4 linked regions of the Arabidopsis thaliana genome follow. The protein of the gene in region 1 interacts with the protein of each later gene in a pairwise test. Each region holds a gene or a part of one and is shown in the gene's direction. Other genes may lie near its edges. The genes, in order: BHLH92, AT3G46600, LBD41 and GRF6.

What was found.
Region 2: the proteins of BHLH92 (region 1) and AT3G46600 interact in a two-hybrid assay, tested with the Arabidopsis thaliana proteins (one large-scale study listed by BioGRID).
Region 3: the proteins of BHLH92 (region 1) and LBD41 interact in a two-hybrid assay, tested with the Arabidopsis thaliana proteins (one large-scale study listed by BioGRID).
Region 4: the proteins of BHLH92 (region 1) and GRF6 interact in a two-hybrid assay, tested with the Arabidopsis thaliana proteins (one large-scale study listed by BioGRID).

What each region holds. Positions count from the first base shown.
Region 1 is NC_003076.8:17,532,212-17,536,649, reverse strand, and holds BHLH92 (basic helix-loop-helix (bHLH) DNA-binding superfamily protein), read left to right. Parts: upstream 1-1,853; 5' UTR 1,854-1,891; coding exon 1,892-2,242; intron 2,243-2,740; coding exon 2,741-3,031; coding exon of another isoform or gene 3,032-3,043; exon of another isoform or gene 3,044-3,238; coding exon 3,239-3,340; 3' UTR 3,341-3,520; downstream 3,521-4,438. Other genes in the region: AT5G43660 (2-oxoglutarate (2OG) and Fe(II)-dependent oxygenase superfamily protein), read left to right, coding at 1-68, 145-313; AT5G43640 (Ribosomal protein S19 family protein), read right to left, coding at 4,280-4,438.
Region 2 is NC_003074.8:17,155,946-17,160,668, forward strand, and holds AT3G46600 (GRAS family transcription factor), read left to right. Parts: upstream 1-1,978; 5' UTR 1,979-2,102; coding exon 2,103-3,854; 3' UTR 3,855-4,020; downstream 4,021-4,723. Other genes in the region: TRFL1 (TRF-like 1), read left to right, coding at 1-1; AT3G46610 (Pentatricopeptide repeat (PPR-like) superfamily protein), read right to left, coding at 4,279-4,723. UniProt on the Arabidopsis thaliana protein: Probable transcription factor involved in plant development.
Region 3 is NC_003074.8:535,560-539,753, reverse strand, and holds LBD41 (LOB domain-containing protein 41), read left to right. Parts: upstream 1-1,627; 5' UTR 1,628-2,103; coding exon 2,104-2,293; intron 2,294-2,405; coding exon 2,406-3,007; 3' UTR 3,008-3,254; downstream 3,255-4,194. Other genes in the region: RAD23C (Rad23 UV excision repair protein family), read left to right, coding at 3,603-3,668.
Region 4 is NC_003071.7:2,424,018-2,428,154, forward strand, and holds GRF6 (growth-regulating factor 6), read left to right. Parts: upstream 1-2,158; 5' UTR 2,159-2,205; coding exon 2,206-2,518; exon of another isoform or gene 2,519-2,611; coding exon 2,612-2,831; intron 2,832-2,919; coding exon 2,920-3,238; 3' UTR 3,239-3,306; downstream 3,307-4,137.

The sequences.
Region 1 (4,438 bases):
CACAGCCATGGTGCAAAAGCCGCCATAACATCTTGTAGTCGGGCCAATATGATTCTTTGGTGCATAAAGTAAGCAATCATGAAGCTTGCCTCAGGATTTCAGATCACAACTAAAACACCTTTTCTTCTGCATTTCCATTTGCAGCTCTTTGTTCAGAGAGATGCAAACTTATGACAACGAATTCCGAGACTGGTGCGGTCAATGCGCCCGTGAAAAGAAAGAAAAGAAAAGCCAGAGTCTTGCTTCCAAAAGAAAGGTTAAGAAAAGAAAAAAGGACATGATTTTGCTCAAGTTTATAAGATGTTTTGTTTGAGCATGGTTATGAACCTGTGGGGGTCCTTATTGCAGGAGATGATTAGGATAATAGAGTGAAGCCGAAGCCCGCTGAAAAAAATGAAGTCTATGCTTTGAATTTTGACTCTTTACTTGGAAAATAACACTGAGTATATGTAGAATCATTTGATGTAAATAGGTCTTTGTGTCTTCGAATTTCTTACATTACTACTATGTACATGAAAGTTACCAGTTACATGTTTAGGATCGGCTATATGTTTACAGTTTACTCGCCGTATCGAAGCAGTGTTCAGTGTCAGCTGAAAAAGAGTACATATAGCCGGTCCATTCGGTTAGACTCATGAAAACCGGTTTAGTAATCATATGTTTACAGTGTCAGCTTTTTTTTTGAAATGTATGATTTGGTTAACCGGTTTTAAAATTGTGAACCAATTCAATTGTGCAATTCCGAACACTAGCGATTCGAAGTAGAGAAAGTAACATTGTACCAAGCTAAACCAACGGCGATGAATGCTAGAACCGCGATGTGATGTGTGATTAAAGAGAAGGTTAGGAGGAAGTAGAGGATGATAAATTGATTCGGAAATGTGTGAGGTTTTGTGTGACGCGTGTGGTGGCGTCGGCGATGGACTAGCGGCGCTGGTGATTGGTTGTGCGGTTTCTTTAACGCCGGAGATTACTTGATTCGCCACCATTGTTGCTCTGGATTCTAGAAACTTCTGAAAATCCTAAATTCGTTGGGAAAAGAGGAGAAAGTCAAACTGATTCATGAGAAGTTAAGAAAGCCCAAGCCCATTAAATTGAGTATCACTTAATTCGTTATTTATACTAAAAAAGATCGTTTTCTAGAATCGAAGTTGGTAGTGTAAAAGAAAAAGAAGTTGAAGAAGCAAGAATTTTCCATCGAAGTGGTCAATTATCCGAGTGTAGTAAAGATAAAATCTCTTATCAGAAAATAAAATAATCGAAGTTGGTCAATATTTTTAGTCAAGTCATTCACACGAGGAAATTTCCCACCCAAGAGTTAGGATACGTGGAAAGAAAATCTCAATGACTAATGTGTTACAATAATTAGACGAAGAATAAACTAATGCCACACACACACACGCACAAATTCCACTTGTGATGACTGATGAACTTAATTATTATTATTAAACCCTAAGGTTTGATAAAACGGTATAGGGCCGGCTCTTTTCTTTTCTCCACGGTGTTGTGTTTTTTGAACTCACAAAGGAGATTTTGTACTTTAACTTCAAAAAGAAAATTGGTTAATTTGAAAACAAACAAACAAATAGTTATAGCTTTTACGCGTCACGTAATGTCTAAATTTTGTTGCCAAGACACGTCACTTGACTTTCTCTAGAGTTCACCTTTGATACATCATTTGACTGTCTCTGGTTTTCTCCTATATACGTCACTTCATCTAACCAAGAAGCTGAGAAAACTATTCATTGACCACGTTCTCAATATGTTTCACGTGTGTTAAATCAACAAAACCACACGTGATTAAATCATAATAGGTATATAGACACACCACACAAAAGACAACATCAAAAATCACACAAATCAAGATTGTCAAACACACTAAGAGAGAAAGATGGATAACTTTTTTCTAGGTTTGAGTTGTCAAGAAGAAAACAACTTCTGGGATCTAATCGTGGCCGACATCTCGGGTGATAGAAGCGTCAGTGTACCTATCAGAAGCGCCTTTAGGTCATATATGAAGGACACGGAACTGAGGATGATGTCGCCGAAGATATCTTCTTCGAAGGTGAACGTGAAGAAGAGAATGGTCAATCTTCTGAGAAAGAATTGGGAGGAGAAGAAAAATACGGTGGCTCCAGAGAAGGAAAGAAGCCGGCGACATATGTTGAAAGAAAGGACGAGAAGAGAGAAACAAAAACAGAGTTACTTAGCTCTCCATTCTCTACTACCATTTGCCACTAAGGTACCTTGATTATTTGTGTAATATTAAACTTGAAACGAACTTTATTTTTCTTAATGACTTGGAAAGAAAATCATAGTAGTTCTAACAAAAATCCGAATTTTTACAGTTCAAAATGGCACACAAAATTAGATATTCGGTAGAAATGGATTAGATTCATGGATACTAAATTTTCAGAATTTCGACTACTATGTCTGTTCACTGATCTTTGATGTTTGTATGCTTAATTACATGCATTGATCTGGTTTTAGAAGCTTATCTTAAATATCTATAAATTTATATTGAGTAAGGTATAATATAAAGTTTTGAGTATGATAAATTTCCAACTACAATCATTTGTATAAAATGTTTGTAAGTTTTTGCACTGGAATCTTTTCTTTTATCACTATTTTCTTTTACTTAAGGATTTTGATATAGAAACAAGTTTAAAGAACATCATAGATTGATATCGAAACAAGTTTCAAGACCATCATTTCTCCTTATATTCTCATTTTATTTCAGAATGACAAAAATTCGATTGTCGAAAAAGCCGTGGATGAGATTGCGAAATTACAAAGATTAAAGAAAGAACTAGTGAGAAGAATTAAAGTGATTGAGGAAAAATCAGCAAAGGATGGTCATGATGAAATGAGTGAAACAAAGGTTAGGGTTAATCTAAAAGAACCTTTGTCTGGACTAGATTCAATGCTTGAAGCGCTTCATTATCTTAAATCAATGGGAACAAAACTGAAAACAGTCCATGCCAATTTCTCTCCTCAAGAGTTTTCTGCGACCATGACCATCGAGACTCAGGTACATATTTAATTCGATTCGAATTGGTTGAATCCGGTTTTGGTTTCTCTTTGGTTATGACAACTTGACAAGTACATAAAGGTAATAATAGGTAGGTTGTTTTGTGTTAGTAGCAAAAAAAAAGTAGATGGTTGTATGTTTTTTTAATTAAGTAGTTAGATCTGTATTAGTGTGATGATATTAAATTTAAAGTTAACTTTTTGGCAGATTAGAGGAGAGGAGGTTGAAAAGAGAGTGGAAAGAAGACTCCAGGAAACTGAATGGAAACTTCTCTTTCTCCCAGAAGCTTCCTTTTACAAAGACTACTAATTCTGTTGACTTTCTGTCATTAATTTTCTTTTGTATTTAAATTTGTATATAGTTAAATACTTAAATTAACTGGTCATTGCTTTATTGACACACATAAAGAAAAATAATGGGGCACACTACTTTTGAGTTTTGAGTTTTGAGGTTTGAAAAATAAAACTAAGAAAATAATATTGATAGAATATAATAGAAAATTTATCAAGTATATAACCATATATAGTGCCAAAATTTGCAAATTGTGTGATAGATAATTTGGTAAATATGTAATGCATTTTATCAATAAAAAATACCATAAAATTTGATTAAAACCAGCATAAAAACCTATCCCAATTAAAGTTTATTTTGAAAAATAGAAATTGGAAAGTTCAATACTTTGGCTATTATTATTTATTATTCAATACTATTTACTACGTACACTCTATAGTAAGAGTTTTTAAACATACAATGTTATTCTTCAACTTAATACGTTGCTGGAACAAGTAAACAACTCAAAACATTAAATAACTAGGAACATAGGGATTAATATATTTGTGCGTTACAATCTTAATAATTGTGAACTAGTACTATCTTATTAGCAAATACACTTGTTCACCATGTGGTTCATTATTTAATTACTTATGAAATCGCCAAAAAAGACCATAGATTTGTCATAGGAAATACAAAAATGGATAATAAACTTTCACCTACCGAGTCAAAACAAGAAGGAACTAAACAAGAAAACAGCTCCTTCAACCAAAACTTTTTGCATATTTATCAAATATTTGAAAACTTTAAATTTGGTAAAATGAATGAGGAGCAAAATAAGATAATTTAACACAGTACTCAAATCTAAACCCTCCTGGTGGAGTTAAACAGAAAGTCATCAAAATAATTATCGAAATTAAGACTTAAAAATGAGATCAAAGTCATCTAAGAAGATAGATATGGAGATAAGTAGCTTCTTCACTTGAGAGGGATAAACCTGGAGGAATTGGTAGCACCAACACCAGGCCTACCGTGCTTTACCGGTTTGTATGAGATTGAGAACTCAGCCAAGTAATGTCCAATCATCTCCGGCTTGATCTCGACTTGGTTAAAAGTCTTTCCGTTGTACACACCAAT
Region 2 (4,723 bases), on another chromosome or scaffold:
ATCTGAACAGGTTCTTGGTCTAAAGAACCTTTGTGTATTATTATGATGATCCATATTGTAAGATTCTGACATAGTTGAAGATCTGGTCTCAGTTCTTCTTTGTTTTTTTTTTTCTTTCTTTCAAATGTAAAGTTTTATAATTGGAAATAAGGTTGGGTTTTTTCTAACAATGTAAAGGATTTGTTGTAAATCTTTGGTGACATTTTTATTCTGTCTATATGATTTATGGCTCGGCCTATCATATCACAACGACAACGAACTGATATATATATACCTCATCCAAACTCTAGGAGTGCTGGAGAATTCAATTGTTGGATAAATTGTTACTCAAGCTGGTCTATGTTTGGTCAGTTTATGGTTCACATGTGTCCTATATTAGGAAAGAATACACAGAAGCTTGTGCTTGTGAGTGGTATGTGTGCTATGGTATTTACCTTAAATACGGGTCGTTCAGAGTAATAAGCTGGTCTCAAAGCCTCTTTTAAAGGCTATAGCCACAAACAAAGGCACAAAATCCTGGATCTCTAACCAGTAAAGAAGTCGATGTTGAACTAAAGTTCGCAAATATTTGCAGATAGCATTGAGTAGGCAAGCTCTTCCCACTTTTTTTTTTTTTTTTTTCACTGAACTGTTGCCTTTCATTGAATATTGGAGTTTGTGAAAAAATTTAAAGCAATTAGCAATAAAATCAAAAGGATATTGAAGTTTACATTTGGACCTGGACGAGATAATAGAGGATAACGTTCAATTTATTAGAAGTTATGATGACTGATATATTTACCGATTTAAAACTAATATATTTAGCAACTTGACGCAGCAAGAAAATTATGATTCTTAACTAATATACACCATATTATATATATTTAGAAGATTTAATTAATATTTAAAATTATGCTTTTTATTTGATTTTGTTTTAAATCGTCATATAATACATAAAATAAAATCAAAAAACAATTTTTTTTTATACATATATTGTGATTTTTAATTTTAAACACGGACACGTATTACCCAATTGACAAAATAATGTGTATGTTTAATGTTCCACATTGACTAAAATATTTAGACAATGATTCAGAATCATATCATATAATGAATATTTACAATAATAAAATAACTGGGTTTTTGTTGGAATGGGTTTTGCGGAACGGATTTTTGAATCTACATTAATAACAAATTAAAATATCATTAATCTGCCGTTTCAATACATATTAAATCTTTTTTTTAACACCACTAATATTATACATATCAAATCAGTCTGATTTAAAAAAATATATATAAAACCAAAATGTCTCATGGTATAATGTTACTATATAAAAATTGTAAATTATAAAATATTAATGTCTTAGAGAATTGTATAATTTTCAAACTTTTATATATAATAAATAATCATTAAATTTTAAAAATCACTACTTAAAAAAAAAAAAAAAATCAAGGGACAGGTTATACAATTAAGATTTACATCTTGTTTTTTTTTTGGAATTTTGGTGATGTGGTAACAGACTACTAAATAGTTTACGCGTATTATATGCAAAATAAATTATCAAACAAATATATTGTAGTAAATTATAAAATTTACTATATTATTATTTAAAAACTGAAATTTGCTTGTGTCTTGTAGAAAAAAAAACTGAACCAAAACAAACTTAATTTACTTCGAAGTTTTATATTTCGTTATACAAAAAGAAAAAGTCTAAATTTCTAAATACATTTAGAAAATATATTCAAGGTAATAACTAATAAGTCAAATATTTGACCAGACAAGTGACCAAAAGGAAGACAACAACAAGAAAACAAATAGCTTTTTAGCCATTTGGACCCACGACAGTAGATAAAGTCTTGGACATATTATTACTAACCTTTTGTGGCGGCTTAGTGTTTATCTTCAACCCCACACATTCTCTGTTTCCTCGAAACTTCATTTTTCTTCTTTGCCAAGACAAAGATTAAATAAGACAAATATCAACCCTATCCTTTGTTTATATCAACAACATCTCGCAACTTGTGTTCACATGAAACTTCTCACTACTCTCTTTCATTTCCTCTTTTCGTTGACTTACTAAAGTACTCTTGTTTCAATCTTCATTCTAGAGAGATTCTGTTTCATGGATGCTATTTTGCCAGTACCCGTTGATGGGTTCAGATTCGACACCGGTTCTGGATCTTGTTGCAAACCGAGGAACAATCTTGAATCTGGGACGACCAATCGTTTCACTTGTTTCAACGAATCTGAATCTCAGAGCAACCCTTCTCCGACCGAGTCTAAGGTATGTTCAGATTACCTTCCTGTCTTTAAGTACATCAATGACATGTTGATGGAAGAAGATCTTGAAGGTCAGTCTTGTATGTTGGAAGACAGTTTGGCTTTACAAGCCGCAGAGAGATCTTTCTTCGAAGTGCTTCAAGATCAAACTCCAATCTCGGGTGATCTAGAGGATGGTTCTCTTGGAAACTTCAGTTCTATAACGAGTTTGCATCAACCTGAAGTTTCAGAGGAGTCAACCAGAAGGTATCGACATAGGGATGATGATGAAGATGATGATCTTGAGAGTGGAAGGAAATCGAAGCTCCCTGCGATTTCTACGGTGGATGAGTTAGCAGAGAAGTTTGAGGAAGTGTTGTTGGTATGTCAAAAGAATGATCAGGGAGAAGCAACAGAGAAGAAAACAAGACACGTAAAAGGCTCATCGAATCGATACAAGCAGCAAAAGTCAGATCAGCCAGTAGATATGAGGAATCTTTTGATGCAATGCGCGCAAGCTGTGGCGAGTTTTGACCAGAGAAGAGCTTTTGAGAAACTGAAGGAGATAAGAGAACACTCTTCTCGCCACGGTGATGCGACTCAAAGACTTGGTTATCACTTTGCTGAGGCGCTTGAAGCTCGTATTACAGGAACCATGACTACACCAATATCTGCTACTTCTAGCAGAACATCAATGGTGGACATTTTGAAGGCGTACAAGGGATTTGTTCAGGCTTGCCCCACCTTAATAATGTGTTATTTCACTGCAAACAGAACAATCAATGAGCTTGCTTCCAAAGCAACCACACTTCACATCATTGATTTTGGGATTCTCTATGGATTTCAATGGCCTTGTCTGATACAAGCTTTGTCAAAACGTGACATCGGACCACCACTGCTCCGTGTGACTGGTATCGAGCTTCCTCAGTCAGGTTTCCGTCCATCAGAGCGGGTAGAAGAGACCGGGCGAAGACTAAAGAGGTTCTGTGACAAGTTCAATGTCCCGTTTGAGTACAGTTTCATAGCCAAGAATTGGGAGAACATAACTCTTGATGATCTGGTGATCAATAGTGGCGAGACAACAGTTGTCAACTGCATCCTCCGGCTACAATATACACCTGATGAAACCGTGTCCCTCAACTCACCGAGAGACACGGCTCTGAAACTATTCAGAGACATCAACCCTGACCTCTTTGTGTTTGCAGAGATTAACGGGACTTACAATTCACCCTTCTTCCTAACAAGGTTCAGAGAAGCTCTCTTCCATTGCTCGTCACTCTTTGACATGTATGAGACCACATTATCAGAAGACGACAATTGCAGGACACTGGTGGAGAGGGAACTAATCATAAGAGATGCAATGAGTGTGATAGCCTGTGAAGGGTCTGAGCGGTTTGCAAGGCCAGAGACCTACAAGCAATGGCAGGTTAGGATTCTAAGAGCAGGATTTAGACCAGCGAAACTAAGCAAACAGATAGTAAAGGACGGGAAAGAGATAGTGAAAGAACGTTACCACAAAGATTTTGTGATCGACAATGATAACCACTGGATGTTTCAGGGCTGGAAAGGAAGAGTCCTTTATGCTGTTTCTTGCTGGAAACCTGCTAAGAAGTAATAAAACAGTTCTGTAATCATTTGCATAATTTTGCTAGCTTTCCATTTCTTTGTTTTTGGTTTCAAAGTGTTGTAGAAACTGTTTGCTCTCATATATATTGAATGAGTCTCTCTCTTTCTCTCTACTTTCTTGCAAGTACATATGGCAAACCAAGAATTCAAAACTTATTTCAAAAAGATCCATAACTTTGAACTGAACAAACCAGTTTGCATATCAATGTGTCTGATGATAATACAGATGTTGTACGAAGATAAAAATTCACAATATAAACAGAGAGACTAGACAAACTAAAAAGAGTATTAAAGAACAAGAAAGTGATTACTTGGAAACTTTCTTCTTCCCTGTAATGGCAATTTTCTTGCCTTTAAGGGTCCTTGGATGCGCCTTACCCCACGGTAACCTTGTACAATGTGTTTTCGTCAGACTAAGGTCTATTCTTTTTGTCTGGTCGAGGACCCAAAAGATTAAGATCAATGGTGGCTCCATAAGTCTCAGCTGATTTAACAACCGCATCATATGGCTTAGAAGAGAGTTTAAGCCCTTCGTTTTGAGCCTTCACATGTAACTCATAAGCAAGCCTTGGCTTTGCATCATTTGCAAGAGCCTCAATCAACATCTCGTAAGTTATCTCGTTAGGCTCAACATTCTCACTTTTCATTCTATGAAACCACTCATAAGCCACACCACTTAACCCGTTCCTCGCGCAACCACTTATAACCGCGTTGAAAGTCACAACGCTCGGTTCAATACCCTTTGAAGCCATTTCCTTGAGAAGGGTATCCAAAAGATTGAACTTTTGCTGTCCTGTCAAAACTGAAGCCATTGTTGTGTACGCGTAAAGATTTGGCTCAATCCCTACCTTAATCATA
Region 3 (4,194 bases), on another chromosome or scaffold:
TGGGAGTGTTGTTCTCTTTTCTGTGTATAATAACCATTCTTCTTTTTTGGAGATTCTCAAGTCTTTGTAAATTGTAATCTTGATAAATTCAAAATGCTTTGTATTATTCGAACAAGCTTCCGTCTTTAGAGATTCTAATTGTCTTGTCTCTCTGGAATGGACAAGAGAAACGAAACGGAAAATAATGCGAATGAAACGGAGCCATCAGCGTTGACTACGTAACTTGACACTTACGAATTACGTACGGTCTATTCAACGAACGAAGATTCCTTCAATATTGTCGTGAACAAGAACACTAATCTCATGGACGCATTAAATGAATGGAAATAGTATTTGACTAGTTAATGTCGTTTAGAACTTAGTAAATTTTGAACCAAACCCATGGATATGAATTGCAGTAGAATCATAATACCAATCGGAAATACTAGTTAATTATTTTTTACAACTCATTAAATTTTGAACCAAAGACATGAATATGAATTGATGTATGAAACGCTACATTTTTGTCTTTTTGCTACGTGGTTTGTTGTTAAATGTACATGTTTTTTTAATAGAAAACAAGGATTTAACTCACGGTTTACCGCGGGCAATCGGTTTATTTGGTTTTTATACTAAATATTTGAGTAAATTTGATATCCTAAACTTATAAATATAAATTTTTTAATCAAACATAACTAAAAAATAATTTGGATTTTTTTTGTTGTTATTTAGTGATAAGAAGAATGTGTTAAAATGTGATTAAATTTTTTTTGCTTGTTATTTATTTATTTTTGTTGAACGGTTTAGATTGAAGGGAATTAATTTTATTGAACGGTTTAGATTTAATCGAATCATATAAAGTTTAGAAGATTGTTAAGACCAAATTACCCTTAATGATTTTGAATAACAAAGAACAAAATCCAAATTTGAAATAAAAATTAAGATCAAATTAGACAAAATTCAATTTGTACTTCCCTTATAATAATAAGAGGATACATAACAGAATCCACTAAACTCAAATCAAATGTGCTACAAAATGGGTCTCACAATATTGTAATGTAATCTGGTACAAAGTTAAATTTAAGTGGATTACGTAAGAAAGAATATCAAAGCTGAGTTTTGGTTGTCTGGATTAAACTATAAGGTGGGGAAAATAAGAATTAATCTAAAGGTGATTAAAGATAAAATTTATTAAGTAAAAGATGATTTAAGATTACGTTTTTTACGAAAGCGTCGGCTAACAGAGAGAGTCACAAAGATCCGCCCACAGGGAGAGAAGAAGAAAAGATCAAAAACCGGAAACCATAAAACCAGAAACCAGTCAATAGTTTTGGACATAGTTGAAAGCAGTATTGTTAAAACAGATTCTTTTCCAGAAAACCAGGAGCTAAGTGTGGGCCCCAGTTCTTCCAAATGCTCCTCAAATGACTCAAATCCCATCTGGATGACTTACGTGGCGATTCGACCAAATTTCTTACTCGCGAGCGTGGAGGCCACGTGTCTTATCACAGTCTCTTCAAACACATTTAAGACAATTTAACCAAAATCCTACTCCATAGATACTCTGAATTGGTCAGATACTTTAATCAACAACCATATTAAATCGTTTTAGAACGAATTAGATTGTATAATCCAGAATTTATAGACTATTCACTAGTAATTAAAAAATGGTAACTTGATATGTCACGTGTATGACACGCGCATTGGATAGAGTGGGGACAAAAACATAACTTGGGGAAGAAACACAAGAAGCAAAACCTTGAATCAGGGTGAAGAAAAACAGCGGCGGTTCTGGGAAAATAAAGGAAGGATTTTGTAATTAAAAGACAAAACAACCCTTGTCTTTAGAGAAAAACAGCTCTTCTTATCTTGTTTTCTTTGTCTTCTGCCTTCTTCCCTTGGTTTTATAATCTCTCTCCGCTTCCCCCAAAAATCCAGGGGCTTCTTACACGCACACAATCCTTTAAAGCTATCGTCTTTCTTATATAATCAGTGAATCTTCATTAACACCTCCCACAAAATCTCAGAAATAACTTTCACAACAGAGTCAAAGAGTTCCAAATCGTTTGTTTGTATTTTGTACGATCAAAGTTGTTGGTACTTGTAAGATAATCGAAACCAAAGATGCGGATGAGCTGTAATGGATGCAGAGTTCTTCGGAAAGGGTGTAGTGAGGATTGTAGTATAAGGCCGTGTTTGGCTTGGATCAAATCGCCTGAAGCGCAAGCTAACGCAACTGTCTTTCTCGCCAAGTTCTATGGCCGTGCTGGACTCATGAACCTCATCAACGCCGGTCCCAATCACCTTCGTCCTGGTTAGTGGTTTTTCTTTTAACCTTTTGATGGCAGTTTTGAATTATACTTTCCAACGATGCCGTTTCGTCTTAGGTCATTTTTTGAACCTAATTAGATCAAATATTTTTGCAGGGATTTTCCGATCGTTGTTGCACGAAGCTTGTGGGAGGATTGTGAATCCGATCTATGGTTCGGTGGGTTTGTTGTGGTCGGGGAATTGGCAGCTTTGTCAAGACGCCGTGGAGGCTGTGATGAAAGGAGAACCGGTCAAAGAGATCGCCACAGACGCTGCGACGATCGGCCAAGGTCCGCCTCTTAAGATCTACGACATCCGACATATCTCCAAGGATGATAACTCTGCCGCCGCGGCTACTGGCTCAACCGATTTGAAACTTGCGAAAACTCGCCGTGCTAAGCGGGTCTCCACCGTCGCGATACAGGCGGAATCGGAGGGAAAGTCTGACGAGGCTAGTCACGATTCGTCGTTGAGTCATCAGTCTGAAATAGTGGCTGCTCATGAAGGAGAGAGCAAGGAATCCGAGAGCAATGTCTCTGAGGTTTTGGCATTCTCGCCTCCGGCTGTGAAGGGCTCCGGCGAGATAAAGCTTGACCTAACTTTAAGGCTCGAACCGGTGTCACGTGCGTATCATGTGGTACCTGTTAAGAAGAGAAGGATCGGCGTGTTTGGCACGTGTCAGAAGGAGAGCACGTGTAAGACTGAGCTTATGCTCTAAGCTCCGTTTTAGCTATACTCAGAAGTTTTGCCCCCATCAGCTCTATTCGGCTCGGCTCTGATGATCTTCAAGTCGAGCCGGTAACTTTTTTTTAATATATAGTTCTCTATTTCCCCCTTTAATGTTCACTTTCCATTTGTGACAAAAGAATAGAGTATATGTACAAAATTATTTACAGAGATTAATTCAAGAATTGGCTGAGATATTATCTATTTTTTAACGAATAAAAGCAAAAAATTTATAAAAAGAAAGTTGATTTATTTCTAAATATTATGGGCCTATCTGCTATCATTTAATAAGTGATATTTTGGGCCTATCCTTTCACGACTGTATTAAGGAAATTGTCAATACCACGTGGCATATTTTAATAGGATAATGGCGGCTGACCTGGCAGAGTTGAAAGCACAAGCCATGTGCTTCGGGTGTGATCCAGTGGAGATATCGAGGGAACGCAAAGGTAGGGGCCAGATTCTGTAGTACCTTCTTCGCCTACCTACTCTCTTTCCCGAATTTATTTGCCGGCGGTGATCAATCAGAACGGGATTTTAGCCTGAGTAATCGGTCACTGGGAAGAGAATTTCGACGGTGAGAGAAGATGAAGATATTTGTGAAAACTCTCAAGGGGACTCACTTCGAGATCGAAGTAAAACCCGAGGATTCGGTATGCGAATTTCTACAGATAGTTTCCTTACTTGTCAATTGAGACTGTTGAATTACGTATCCGAGGAGGTTTCTCGATCGAGTTTATTGTTCTCTCGGTAGAGTCGGTTTTCTCAATTAAGTTTCTCGATCGAGTATTTGATTTGGTCGATTTTAGAGGTTTCTCTGTTCTTTCGTGATCTGAGAGCTAGTTCTTATAAGTGGAATGTGGTAATTTGGAGGTTTCTAAAGAGAATTTAAACAATTCAGCAATCTTTGTCTATGGGTTTGTTTGGCCATCTTTTTTAGTAATTTCACTGCTTGTAGTGGGAATGAGCTCATTTCATTTGCATTTGAAGTGTGTTTGTTACTACTATGTTTGGATCCATTAACCTTCTGCTTCTCCTAAGTGTTTTCCAATTGGGGAATTTACAGTCTGTCACTGAACTGAGAGTTGTGCAACAACATTTCCATTTTAAAAGATTTCGTTTGGATTTTATACTTCCATCCTGTTATCATCTCTTTTTTTTTTGTGAATGCATTTCTGA
Region 4 (4,137 bases), on another chromosome or scaffold:
GGGTCCTTTATCCAGAAGAGAACTTGAGGACAAGTTCTTCAGAGGTGGAGGAGACTGATGTAGGAGAGATTTAGCAGTTTTACATTTCTTTTCATATTTCCTTATTTCAAGTTTTCTATTTTGCTTAGAGTTTTCTATTTTATGATTTGGTTTCTTCTCTATATATAGAAAGACCCTAAGTTTTTTGCTCGACACGTTTTATCATTTTAATTAATAAAAGCAGAGAGTTTTTCTCTAATCTGGTGGATTTCCAAAGTTTCAACCTTTCAAATTCGACGCTTGCGAACTTGATTCATGTTTAGGCATAGTGATTGCTATTCCTAGAGGTTCCGACTCCGTAAGTATTTTAATTCTATATAAATAAATGAAGAAAAAAGTAATCATAATTACCCAAATAAAACAGTTTGTTTATATTCCTTTTTAAAATTTTAAGTAACATCGTTAATGTGCTTAGTGTTCTTTATGTTTTGCTTCCCGTCAATATTAAATAATCTTTACATGGAAATTAATCGGTCTCATATATAAAAGAGAAATTGAAGACGATTAAGATGCTATTAACTTTATTTATGAGTATGTATTATGTGAAACACCTTTTATTTATAACTTCAACATAATCGTTTCTAATCTTTCAAAAAAAACTGCCTAAATATTTTTAAATCGTTACGTCTCAAATATAGTCTTTTTAAATATAGTTAATTTATCAACCTTATATATTTTTGGATAAAAAACATGATTTATATGATCAATTTAGATGTATTTTTAGTATTAGAGGTTTTCCTAAGAAAATAAATCATGTTTTTATGAAGTGTAAGTTTCTGAGGTTTTTTCACAAACCCCCACCATCTGTTAATGCATTGGGTCTAACTTCATTTGATGACCGACTTCAAATGAATTATTTACATAGGCATGAACAAAATTTTAAATTTTGATAATTAAAATAATCTTTAACAAAGAAAAAAGATAATTAAAATAATCACAGTTTTTTTTCTTTTGAGAAATATAAAATAATTTAGAAAAATTCAAAAGAAAACAAAAATAAAAGAGGGAGAAAGAGATGTGGCATGAGTGATGGGTGTGTATGGGAGTGAGTGAGAGCTGTGAAAGGGAAGAGTCGCAGAGAGTGCAGAAGTTTTCAGAGTTTGCAGACTCACTCATTATTTTCCCTCTCTCTCTCTCAAACTTTTTTACTTCTATTCTCATAAATATTTTTTATTCAAAACAATTTATTATTCATGCATAGTGTTTTTAACACAAGTGGACCGTGTACACTTAATTTTATAAATGTCGAATGTGTTGGAGCTACGAGTACTACGAGTCGTCTATCTAACCAAAGATGTCACATTACACGATACGGTTTATTTGATTGAAGAACAAAAATAATGATTTGGTATAATTCAAAATTTATAAACTCATTACAATTGGACTTCTTTCATTTTATTTTCTAATACTATAATGAATGATTAAGAGAATGTTCTTTGTGGTTAGCTAAACCTTTATAACGATCTTTGTAATAGTTGCAATATGCTTACATGTTTCTTTTTTTATAGTTAAAACATTAAGAAGAATAGAAGAGGGACATAAATCCTCTCACTTGGCTATTTACTTACTATATTTAGGATCGAATATAAATGCTAAAAACATCTTAAATATTGTAGGGTTAAATTCAAGCTTCTTTCACAAATAAGTATTTTTTTTTTCTTATTTTTTCTTTCTCACATATACTAAAGTTTGAGATATAAGTTATATGACTCAAAAGATATCATAACAACCCAACATTAGAGCTGAAATTTTTAATGTCTTATTATTTTGTACACAACTTTACCTCTTAAGTTTCATGACTTGTTAGATTTTTTTTTTGTCAACCAAAAATAATTAGAACTTAATAGAGTCAATCCCGAAGGATATTGTTTACGTATACGTATGTAACTTGGTAGATTCTCTTTTCGGTTACCAAATTTTCTCGTTTTTCTAAACGCAAACAAAAGTTACAAACTCCTGAATATAATACGTAAATAAATTAAACATAAGTTATCTATGCCCCTTGTCACAAAATTTAGCTTTTAAGAAGGAAAAGAAAAACCTGAAATGGTGCTTAAGATAAAACCAAAACTAAAGCTGAAAAGAAAATTTTAAGAAATAAGAAAAAGGAATAATAAACAAGAAGAGGACATGAAGCACAGAGATTCTGCAGACTGCAGGTGACCAATGGACACTTTATCAATAAAAACATACCTACTACTCTCTTACACTTTCAATTTTCCAATACAAATCCCAATCTTTAATCTCTCTTTCTTCTTCATCTCTCTTTCTCTTTCTCTCTTCATGGCTACAAGGATTCCATTCACAGAATCACAATGGGAAGAACTTGAAAACCAAGCTCTTGTGTTCAAGTACTTAGCTGCAAATATGCCTGTTCCACCTCATCTTCTCTTCCTCATCAAAAGACCCTTTCTCTTCTCTTCTTCTTCTTCTTCATCTTCTTCTTCAAGCTTCTTCTCTCCCACTCTTTCTCCACACTGTAAGCACACTTTATCTTCTTTGCTTTGTGCTCTATGATGGTTATCCTTAGGGTTTGGTGATAATGTAAACGAATTTGACTCTTTTTTTTCAGTTGGGTGGAATGTGTATGAGATGGGAATGGGAAGAAAGATAGATGCAGAGCCAGGAAGATGTAGAAGAACTGATGGCAAGAAATGGAGATGCTCTAAAGAAGCTTACCCTGACTCTAAGTACTGTGAGAGACATATGCATAGAGGCAAGAACCGTTCTTCCTCAAGAAAGCCTCCTCCTACTCAATTCACTCCAAATCTCTTTCTCGACTCTTCTTCCAGGTTTCAAACACACCTTCCTCCTCTGTTTTACTCTAATGACAACACAATGATTGACTATTTTTTATCTTCAAAACATGTTTGAAAGTAGAAGAAGAAGAAGTGGATACATGGATGATTTCTTCTCCATAGAACCTTCCGGGTCAATCAAAAGCTGCTCTGGCTCAGCAATGGAAGATAATGATGATGGCTCATGTAGAGGCATCAACAACGAGGAGAAGCAGCCGGATCGACATTGCTTCATCCTTGGTACTGACTTGAGGACACGTGAGAGGCCATTGATGTTAGAGGAGAAGCTGAAACAAAGAGATCATGATAATGAAGAAGAGCAAGGAAGCAAGAGGTTTTATAGGTTTCTTGATGAATGGCCTTCTTCTAAATCTTCTGTTTCTACTTCACTCTTCATTTGATCATCTTTTGTTCTTATAACCTTGTATTTCTTGTTAAGATGGTAATGCAAATTCTCTCTTTTTTTGTCTAATTTAATTAGGAGTTTCTTTTTGTGATCCATGCATTATATTAGCATAAAAGATTTAACTTGTGTAAAGTAGTTATATTAGTTTGGTTTCAATGTTTAAATTGTTTCTGCTCATCTCTTGTCAATATTAGTGATAGTACGATGTCACTAAGTCATTGATTAGCAACAAATTTATCAATTCATGTTTCTGTAATTAATTATTTCTGATTCTTTTTGTCAGAAACTTGTTCATTAAACTATTTACTGTGGATAGTAAATAGTTTTTTTTTATAATTAAAACAGTAAATAATTTTTCTTAAAGGTTATGTTATAGAAAAAAATGATGAAGAAAATAAGAAAAGAGTAAAAAAAAGACAGGTTTTGCAATTGAGTTGAGTTGAGTTCTGCTCCCTGACTGAGTTTGGTCAGGTCTGAAAAAGCCACACACCCAATCAAAAGCTTTCTGCTCTGACTCAGTGAGAGAGAAAGACGACTTCTCTTATTCTCATCAAACTGAATTATTATTTCTTCACTCACACACATGAGTACATGACATAAAGCAAATTATACTTGTGTGTGCGTGTAATTTTGTTGCTTATAAACTATAATTGCAGTCAATATGTTCTGAAAAGTTGAAAGAGATCCTACAGAGAGAGAGAGAGAGAGAGAGAGCAACATGAAACCTAAAAACCCAAAAGAAAAATTAAAGTAAAAGGGAACAGAAGAAACTGCAGAAACAGTACCAAATCCTTCAAGACCACACACACACACACCCACGTTTCTGACTCTTCCACTTCCTTCTGACAACACTCTTCTGTATTTTTTATTTCTTTATTTATTTTTAGTTTACTA